2 linked regions of the Diceros bicornis minor genome follow. The protein of the gene in region 2 interacts with the protein of the main gene of each other region in a biochemical or structural test. Links are inferred from orthologs where the notes say so. Each region holds a gene or a part of one and is shown on either strand. Other genes may lie near its edges.

Region 1 (3,813 bases), on a different chromosome or scaffold from region 2:
TACAGGTGGGGGTGCGGAGGTGCTCATAGTTTGGGCAGCCTTGGCCTGTCGAGCAGCATCGATTGCAGCTTGCCAAGACAGGACGGTCTGCTTGGAGCTATTCGGTTGAGAAGTTGGTCCTTCACCAGAAAGAGGGAGTCTGGTGCTTCTTGCATAGTTTGCCTCTGGGAAAAAGAAGAAAAAGAAAAATTAAAAGAAAAAAACAATGAGAATCCAGTGTCAGAAAAAAGCAAAAGTTGTCTCCCACTGATAGTGGGGGGAATGGTTCCCATGTTTCCACTGTAAACCTCGTGTCCTATTTTTCAGAGGCAGGGGTTTGAGCAGCAAGAAAAGTCTCTGCCCTGAGTGTCAGTCACAAACGACCACTGCTGCGGTATGCCCAGGGGGGTTAGCACCTCTCTACACCCATGTCTCCACAAGGAGTCTTTTAGTGCATTTCTTCAGACAAACTGAGGTCATTCCCACATTTATTCCACATCTTTTCTGACTTTTAAAACCCATGTATCTCTAATGAGTTAACAGATATGTACAACAGCTTTTCTCCAAAATAACTACCACCATCACACACACATACAAAAAGGCAGTGCCAATAATTCAATAGTCTTAATCATTTTCAGGCTGTTACTCCAACATCTTTCCACAGCCACAAATGCATTTTTTTCAGCATGGGAAAAAAAAATCCTCCACTGGCACCAGGGCAATATCAAAAGCCCCATAACAAATATCTAGATTATGCACTGACACTTCCTGCAAATGAAAATTCATGATACTTGGGACTCATTTCCTCCACAGGCTTCCGAAAACAGAAAACATCTTTAGGGCTTTTTTGCATTTTAAATTGCAGCCGCAGCAGCCAAGCCAGCATCCAGAGAAACAGCCCAGGCAGGCGGCCTGCACCCCTACACCTAGGACAGACACGCTGACTGATGCCAGGGGCCCTCAAGGCCTAAGTAGGAATCATCCCAATGTAGGCTGGCATCCAGGTGCACACAGGGCAGAACCCCAACGGGGCTCCATGTGTAAACCCCCTCTAGCTTTGGAACAGGCCACCACCCAGGCAGGTCTCCAGGGCACCTGCCTGGCTGCGGTCACAACCTCCTTACATAGACAGAAGTCAAAGTTAAGAGTAGTGGCGGAGGTAGAGGGAGGGGCGTTTGCTAAACCAATTCTCGCTAAGTAAAGAACAAGAGAGTCAAAGCAAGCACAGGTCGGCCTGCCCAGGAGCTTGAGAAGGGGGCCATGGGGGCGGGCAGTGAACAGTCCAGAGCCCGGGGAGGAGTCGTGCCTAGCCTTCCCTTGGGGAGCGCTCACCCAGCAAGGCTGAGAGCCCACGGGGGCTGTGGGGAGTGCCGGTGACCTCCAAACGGGGCGGGGGGGCGGGGGGGAGGTGGCTGGTCAGGAGCTGCTCCTGCCTCCCTCGACCTCGCCCGGCCAGCGTGGTAAGTGCACGTGGTGCCCGGGCTGGGGAGGGGAGCCCCACAGCGGCAGCACTCCCCGGGCATTGCTAGGTTACCGACGTGTGCACAGCGGCACTGGGAGCGGGAATACGCGCTCCACCCGACCCCCTGGCCGGCGATTCCGAGACCCGGCCTCCCTCTCGAGGGGAGCGGTGTGCTTCACCCACCGGCGCGAAGGGTGAAACCGGGCAATCCTAGAATTTTCCGGATGCCACCAGAGATCGTCTTCCTAGTCAACCAGGGGGCCGGGAGGGAGAAGAAGGCGAGTAGAGGCTGGAAAGGGGGTTTGGGCTGAAGACTAACAGCCACCTCCCCCCACACACATCGCTCGGGAGCGTTGGAGGAAAGTTGAGCCCGAGGACACTGTACCAGAATCACCTCGGCTTGCCGCCCCTCCGGCTGCACAGTACTCCACGGACACCAGGGCCGCCCCCACCCCACAAATGCAGAATTAACTCTGACATTCAAGGCCTGAAGGGGAGAACGGAGTGGCTGTCACGCATCTCCCCTTTCTATGTAGACGACACCGAGCTAGCAGCATCCTCTCCAACCCTCTCAACCCACCCAGCGCATCAGAGACGGGAGGGGGGTGGGAAGGAAGAGGGGGTGGGAAGAGGAGGACCATGACAAGGATTAGTTTGGCAGCGGGTGCCTAGGCTCTGGCTGCTCACCGTTCGCGTGGTCCGATTGCTGCCGCCGTTGATGCTGCATTTTTTTCATCATCATCATCATCATCATCCACGAACATTTATTGAGCGCCTACTGTGTGCAGGGCACTGTGCTGGGCGTTGGGGCGGGGGAGGAACGGGTAAGGGGGTTACCGATAGGTAGGAGCCGCGGTCCCTGCCCTTATTCTCGCTTCAGCAGGGGGTGGGGAGGGACGAGGGCAGATAACAGAAATTAAGAATAATTTATAAAAACCGCTCACCACCCACGCTCTCTCTTTTTCAAAAATGGAGCAAAATAAACTTTTTTTAAAAAATAAGATCAGATGTATATATTATCTTAATAATATATACATGTAATTTTTTGCTGCAAAGAAGAATTGGCTTGGTCCCTCCTCTAGTGGAGGGACGCCGCGGCGATGCGGGCCCGGCCGCCGGGGCCGCTCCGAGCGCCCCCCATGCCCGCCCGCCGCGGTGCCCGGTGCCCGGTGCCCGCCGCCCGGTGCCCGCCGCCGCTGCCGCCCGCGCCGCCGCTGGCTCGGGACCGCGGGCAGCCGGAGCTCACATCCGGGGACGGAGGCGCTCGCTCGCTCGCCTGCTCCGCGCCCGCCGCGCCGCGCCGCACGCCGGCTTCGCCCTGGCGACGCTGCGCGCCCGCCGCCGCCGTCCCCCTCCCTCCCCCCGCCCGCCCCGAGCCTCCCACGGGCCCGCCGCGCCCCAGTGGTCGGCGGCCCGGCCCGGGGCTCTCCCCGCACGGCCCGCGCGGTCGGGGTGGCCGCCGCGTGGGACTCGGGGTGCCGCCACCCCGGCCTGGCTCGGCTGACCCGCAGGCGCCAATGGGTTAAGCGCGCTCCTGCCGCCGGCCGCCCGGTTAACCCCCTCGGCGCCGCAGGGTGCTCTCCCCCCTTTCCCCCACGGAGGCGGGCGGGGCCCGCGGAGCCCGCGGATGCGGTGTGCGGATTAACCGCTCCTCCCCCTGCATGTCTTCGGGGCTGGGGGGATGGAATGCTTAGGCTCCCGCCGCCTGCCTGGGCTCTGCGCTGCGTCCTCCCTTCGGCACACCTGGAGGAGGCCCCGCCCCCTGGGAGCACAGGTGCAGGCGGGCGGTCGTCGAGGGGTTCTGCCTAGCTCCCTTACCGCTCTGTGCCGGGCAAGCGCCCCCCTTTTCCTACAGCTCTTTCTGGTTGCGGGGGGAGGAGGGGAATGGGGGAGTCCTGCTCTCTGGAGAGCGCTCAGTGCCGGGGTAACAGCACCTTCGGAGCTAACCGGGTTTCCAGAGCCTCCCCCCTCCCATCCCCGCCCATCGCTGGGTCTGGCGCTTCAGTGGGTTCTAAGACGGTTGGGAGGGGTAACATCCCTCTGTCCCTCTTCCTCTCTCTACCCCCTTCTCATCCCTTTCTCACCACCACCCCCCCACATCTGTTTGGAGGCAGGTACAGGAAAGTAAAAGCTAAGGTCTTTCAAACCGTTTGTGTTGCTTAAAGGAATAGGTAGTGCTGCTGAAGCTGCTGACTCCCGTGTGGGAGCTGAGGAGAGTAGTTTGTTTTCTGGTACCTTCATTGTCATGTTTGGGTTGAGGAGTTTTGCAAACGGAAGCTCTTGTCTAGAGGGGAAGATACTGTATCTAGTGGATGACTGATATTTCTCATTTAGCATTTTGCTGGCTATTGGAGAAAGGCGTCCGCTTTGTT
Region 2 (3,600 bases):
CCCTTGGATGGCTGGGGGTGAGAGGCTGAGATGTAGTAAGGGGGAGATGGAGGTGCCATGTGCGAGCCTGGGGCGGCAGGAGCCGGAGGCAGCGTGGTGCCTGGGAGCGGGTGGAGCCAGTGACTTCACCGAAGTGTGGCTGACAATGTGTGCAGAGGGCTGCTGGGGAATCGGTGTCCCAGGGGCACCGAGATGGGGGTGTCATGGGGCAGAGCATCATGCACGGGGTGCCCCCGAGGGAACTACAAGAGGTGGCCTCTGCAGGTTGCTCGGGGCATCTTGAGAGGGTGTGTGGCTGAGTGGGGAGGCCGGCCTGGGAGGGCTGTCCGGTGGCAGTGGTGTGGTGGCCTGGGCCAGTGTGGGGTGGCTGCTGATGACCTGTGGCCACTGCAGGGTGGGTGGAGCCCATTGCCTGGTACTGAGGGAGACGGGGGGGCTGGGAGAGAGGCTAAGAAGTGGGGTGAGGGTCTGGGGGACTGGGGTGGGAGATCATATCCAGACCCCCACTATTCTCACCCCTGGGGTGGCCTTACAAGAGTGGGTCCCAAAAGGGGTCGGCCTCCCTCATCTTCTCCCCCATTCCCACCCCAGCACCAGAAACCAGAATGTCTGGTCTGGTCCCTCCCCCCCCACACCAGGCCCGGCTCCTGCACCGTTGCCATGGAGATGGGAAGCAGTGGAGGGTACTGCTGACTTTGGGGGAGTGGGGATGGGCTGGGGGGTGGGGGGAGGGAAAACAAAATGTGTGTGTGGGGAGGAGAGTTCCAAGAGCTGTGGGCGAGCCGGCATCTAAGCACGGGCCGGCCAGCCCCTCCCCCACGAGTGACCCGGGCTTCGAAGCCCCCTCCCCCTCCAGTACCCAGCAGCGCCGCCCCACCTTGCCCGGGCGGAGACCCCGGCCTCTACCCACGCGACTCGACATCCCACCTCCGGAGCCGGGACCCCGGGGTCACTCCCCCTCGGCTGACCCTGGCTGACCCCCAGTCTCAACCGGGCACTAATGGGGTGGCCAGTGGGGATAAAAGCGAAGCTGGCCCGGGTCCCCCCGCGCGTGCGGCTGCCCCCAACCCCCAGGACCGGCTCTGACCCCTCCCCCTCAGGCCCCGAGGGAGGGAGCGGGCACACTCCGCCGGGGCGGCATGAATCAAACGCTCCACGGCTAAGAATAGCTGGCACGCAGCTGGTACCGAGACGGGCTGAGGAGTCGGCGGGGGGGGGGGGGAGAAGGGGAGAGAGGGGGTGCCCTGGGAGGCAGCGGGGGGACGGGGGGCGGCTGGCGTGGCCGCGAGCGGGGCCCGGGAGAATGAATGGAGGCGGAGAGAGGCGGGGAGGGGCGGGGAGAGGGAGCCCCGCTGGGGCCGGGGAACTGGTGGGGGAGAGCCCCGGGCCGGGGAGAGGGGGCGGGGGCACCCGGGAGCGCACTCGGGGGCGGGAACCGAGGGGGCGCGCCGGCCGGCGGGGAAGGGAGAGCAGACCGGGTGCGGAGGGGGGGAGCTTGTGAAGGGGGCGGGAAGCGGCTGGAGGCGCCTGGAAGGAGAAGCAGGAGCTAGAGGGGGTCGAAGGGGGCGAAGGAGGCCAAAGCCCAGAGCCCCCTGGAGGGGGGTGGGCACCAGGGTGACCTGGGGGAGGGGCCTCGAGAGGCGGGGCCGCAGGAGGGGTCGAGGGGCCCAGGTGGGCCAGGGCGGGCGAGGCGGGGGAGTGGCCGGGCAGGGCCAGGAGGCGGGGACAGCGACCGAGCCCTTGGCCCAGGAGCGCGGGGAGGCGGGTTGGGGCTGGGGTCTCTGCTGGCGGGCGATGGGGGGCGCATCCTCGCATCCGGTCCGCGATCTGGGACGGGGCACCGGGGACCGGGGCGTAACCCAATTTGGCGTCGCCCAGGGCAACGCTCCCCACCTCACCCCCAACCCCCACCGCACGCCCGGCCCGGGAGCCCGGCGCGCGGCCAAGGACGTCCGGGGCGCCCCCGCCCCCTCCCGCCGCCCCGGCCCCGCGGCGACCCCAAAGCCCCCGGTTCTCGGCCCCCTTACCTGCCTGGCGGGGCTGCTGAGTCCCGGTCGGCGGCGCCCGCGGCCCCTCCCCCCTCCCCCCCACCCCCCACCCCCCCGGAGACGGGGGACCCTCAGGCCATGCCCCACCGCCCCGGAGGGCGAGCGGGCCCGGGGAGGCGGCGGGCGGGGGCCGGGGGGAGGGCGGGGGGGCCGAGGACCTCACCCCCCCCGCGGGCCGGGCCTGGCCATCCGCAGAGCGCCCCCCCGTCCGCCGCGGCCGCCGCGCCCCTCCTGGCTAGCCCGCCCCCGGCTCGGTCCGGCCGGCTCCCGGCGCCGCGTCTCCGCCCGCTCTTCCTCCTCCTCTTCCTCAGGCCGCGGCCGCCGCCCGCTCCGCGCCTCCTCTGCCTCCCTTCTCGCTCCCTCGCTCTCGCCGTCTCTCCCTCACCCTGTCTCTCTCCCTCCCTCCCTCTCTCCCTCCCTCCCCTCCCTCCGCCCTCTCCCCTCCCTCCGGGAGCCGGCGGAGGAGACAGAGCCCCTCCCCGCGCCCCCAAACCTCGCCCATCCCCCCCGACTCCGGCTCCGCCCCCTCCCCCTGCCCTCCCCCCACTCCTCTCCGCCGCCAGCTCGCCGAACCCTGACTCCACCCCTGCTTGCCCCCAAACCCCGACGATGGGGCCCCGCCCCCCTGAGGGTACCCCCCCACTGCACACCCCAGGACCGCCCCTTCCCAGAGGGCTCCGCAGCCCCTCTGCACACAGCGGGGCGCAATAAATATTCGTTGCGAGACTCCACACCCCCAAATTGGATTGTGAGAGCTATAGATTCCTGTCCTGTCCCCCAGACACACACACACACACCTTCCCCCAAGGCACAGGTGCATAATCTAGCTGGTCCTGCACGTGCAGACATGCCCACACAGACACAGTCTGCAGGGCGTGACCGCCCAGACCCAACCTACCTGAGTGTACATTACCACAGACACATTCAGCTACAACAGGGACATAGCACGCCCGTGTGCCGGAGCATCCACGCAGCGCGGCACACGCGTTTACCCACCACACACACGGGCGTGAACCAGAGTGTGCATGCTCGGATCTTCAGCTCACACGCAAGCCTGAAACAGAGACACGCAACTATAGGGAGATGTATGCATGCGTCCCCCTCTCACGCACCCCCCTCGCCATCCATCGCACAGGTGTGCACGCGCCTATTTAGATGCACGGCACGGCGCCATAGCTCCCCTCCATGATAATCACAGCTGACATTTCTTGAACACTTCCTGTGTGCCAGGCTATGTTCTGGATTAACTCATCCACGTCTCACGCCAACCCTATGAGCTAGGGACTTTCACCATCCCCTTTTTCCAGAGAGGGAAACCGAGGCACAGAGAGGCTAAGTAACTTGCCCAAGGTCACCCAGCTCTAAAGACGTGGTGCCAAGGATCAGGGACAAGTCGGCTGGCTCAAAGTCTTCACACTACTCTTGTTCACTCCTGGGCACACCATAGTTGCATATTCTCGTTCATCACATGCAGACATGCCCAACCTTCTCCTCACAGCTCAGCTCACTGGTGCCCGGGACACACCCACAGAGACAGGGCAAATCCCGTAGG

What was found.
Region 1: the proteins of SHANK1 (region 2) and CACNA1D interact in a biophysical measurement, tested with the Homo sapiens proteins (2 studies listed by IntAct, with this or other methods). The link is inferred for Diceros bicornis minor from reciprocal best matches to the Homo sapiens genes SHANK1 and CACNA1D.

The regions. Positions count from the first base shown.
Region 1 is NC_080741.1:53,978,549-53,982,361, reverse strand, and holds the start of CACNA1D (voltage-dependent L-type calcium channel subunit alpha-1D), read right to left. Parts: upstream 2,485-3,813; 5' UTR 2,196-2,484; coding exon 2,129-2,195; intron 165-2,128; coding exon 1-164. UniProt on the Homo sapiens protein: Voltage-sensitive calcium channels (VSCC) mediate the entry of calcium ions into excitable cells and are also involved in a variety of calcium-dependent processes, including muscle contraction, hormone or neurotransmitter release, gene expression, cell motility, cell division and cell death.
Region 2 is NC_080773.1:25,832,877-25,836,476, forward strand, and holds the start of SHANK1 (SH3 and multiple ankyrin repeat domains protein 1), read right to left. Parts: upstream 2,262-3,600; 5' UTR 2,028-2,261; intron 1-2,027. UniProt on the Homo sapiens protein: Seems to be an adapter protein in the postsynaptic density (PSD) of excitatory synapses that interconnects receptors of the postsynaptic membrane including NMDA-type and metabotropic glutamate receptors via complexes with GKAP/PSD-95 and Homer, respectively, and the actin-based cytoskeleton.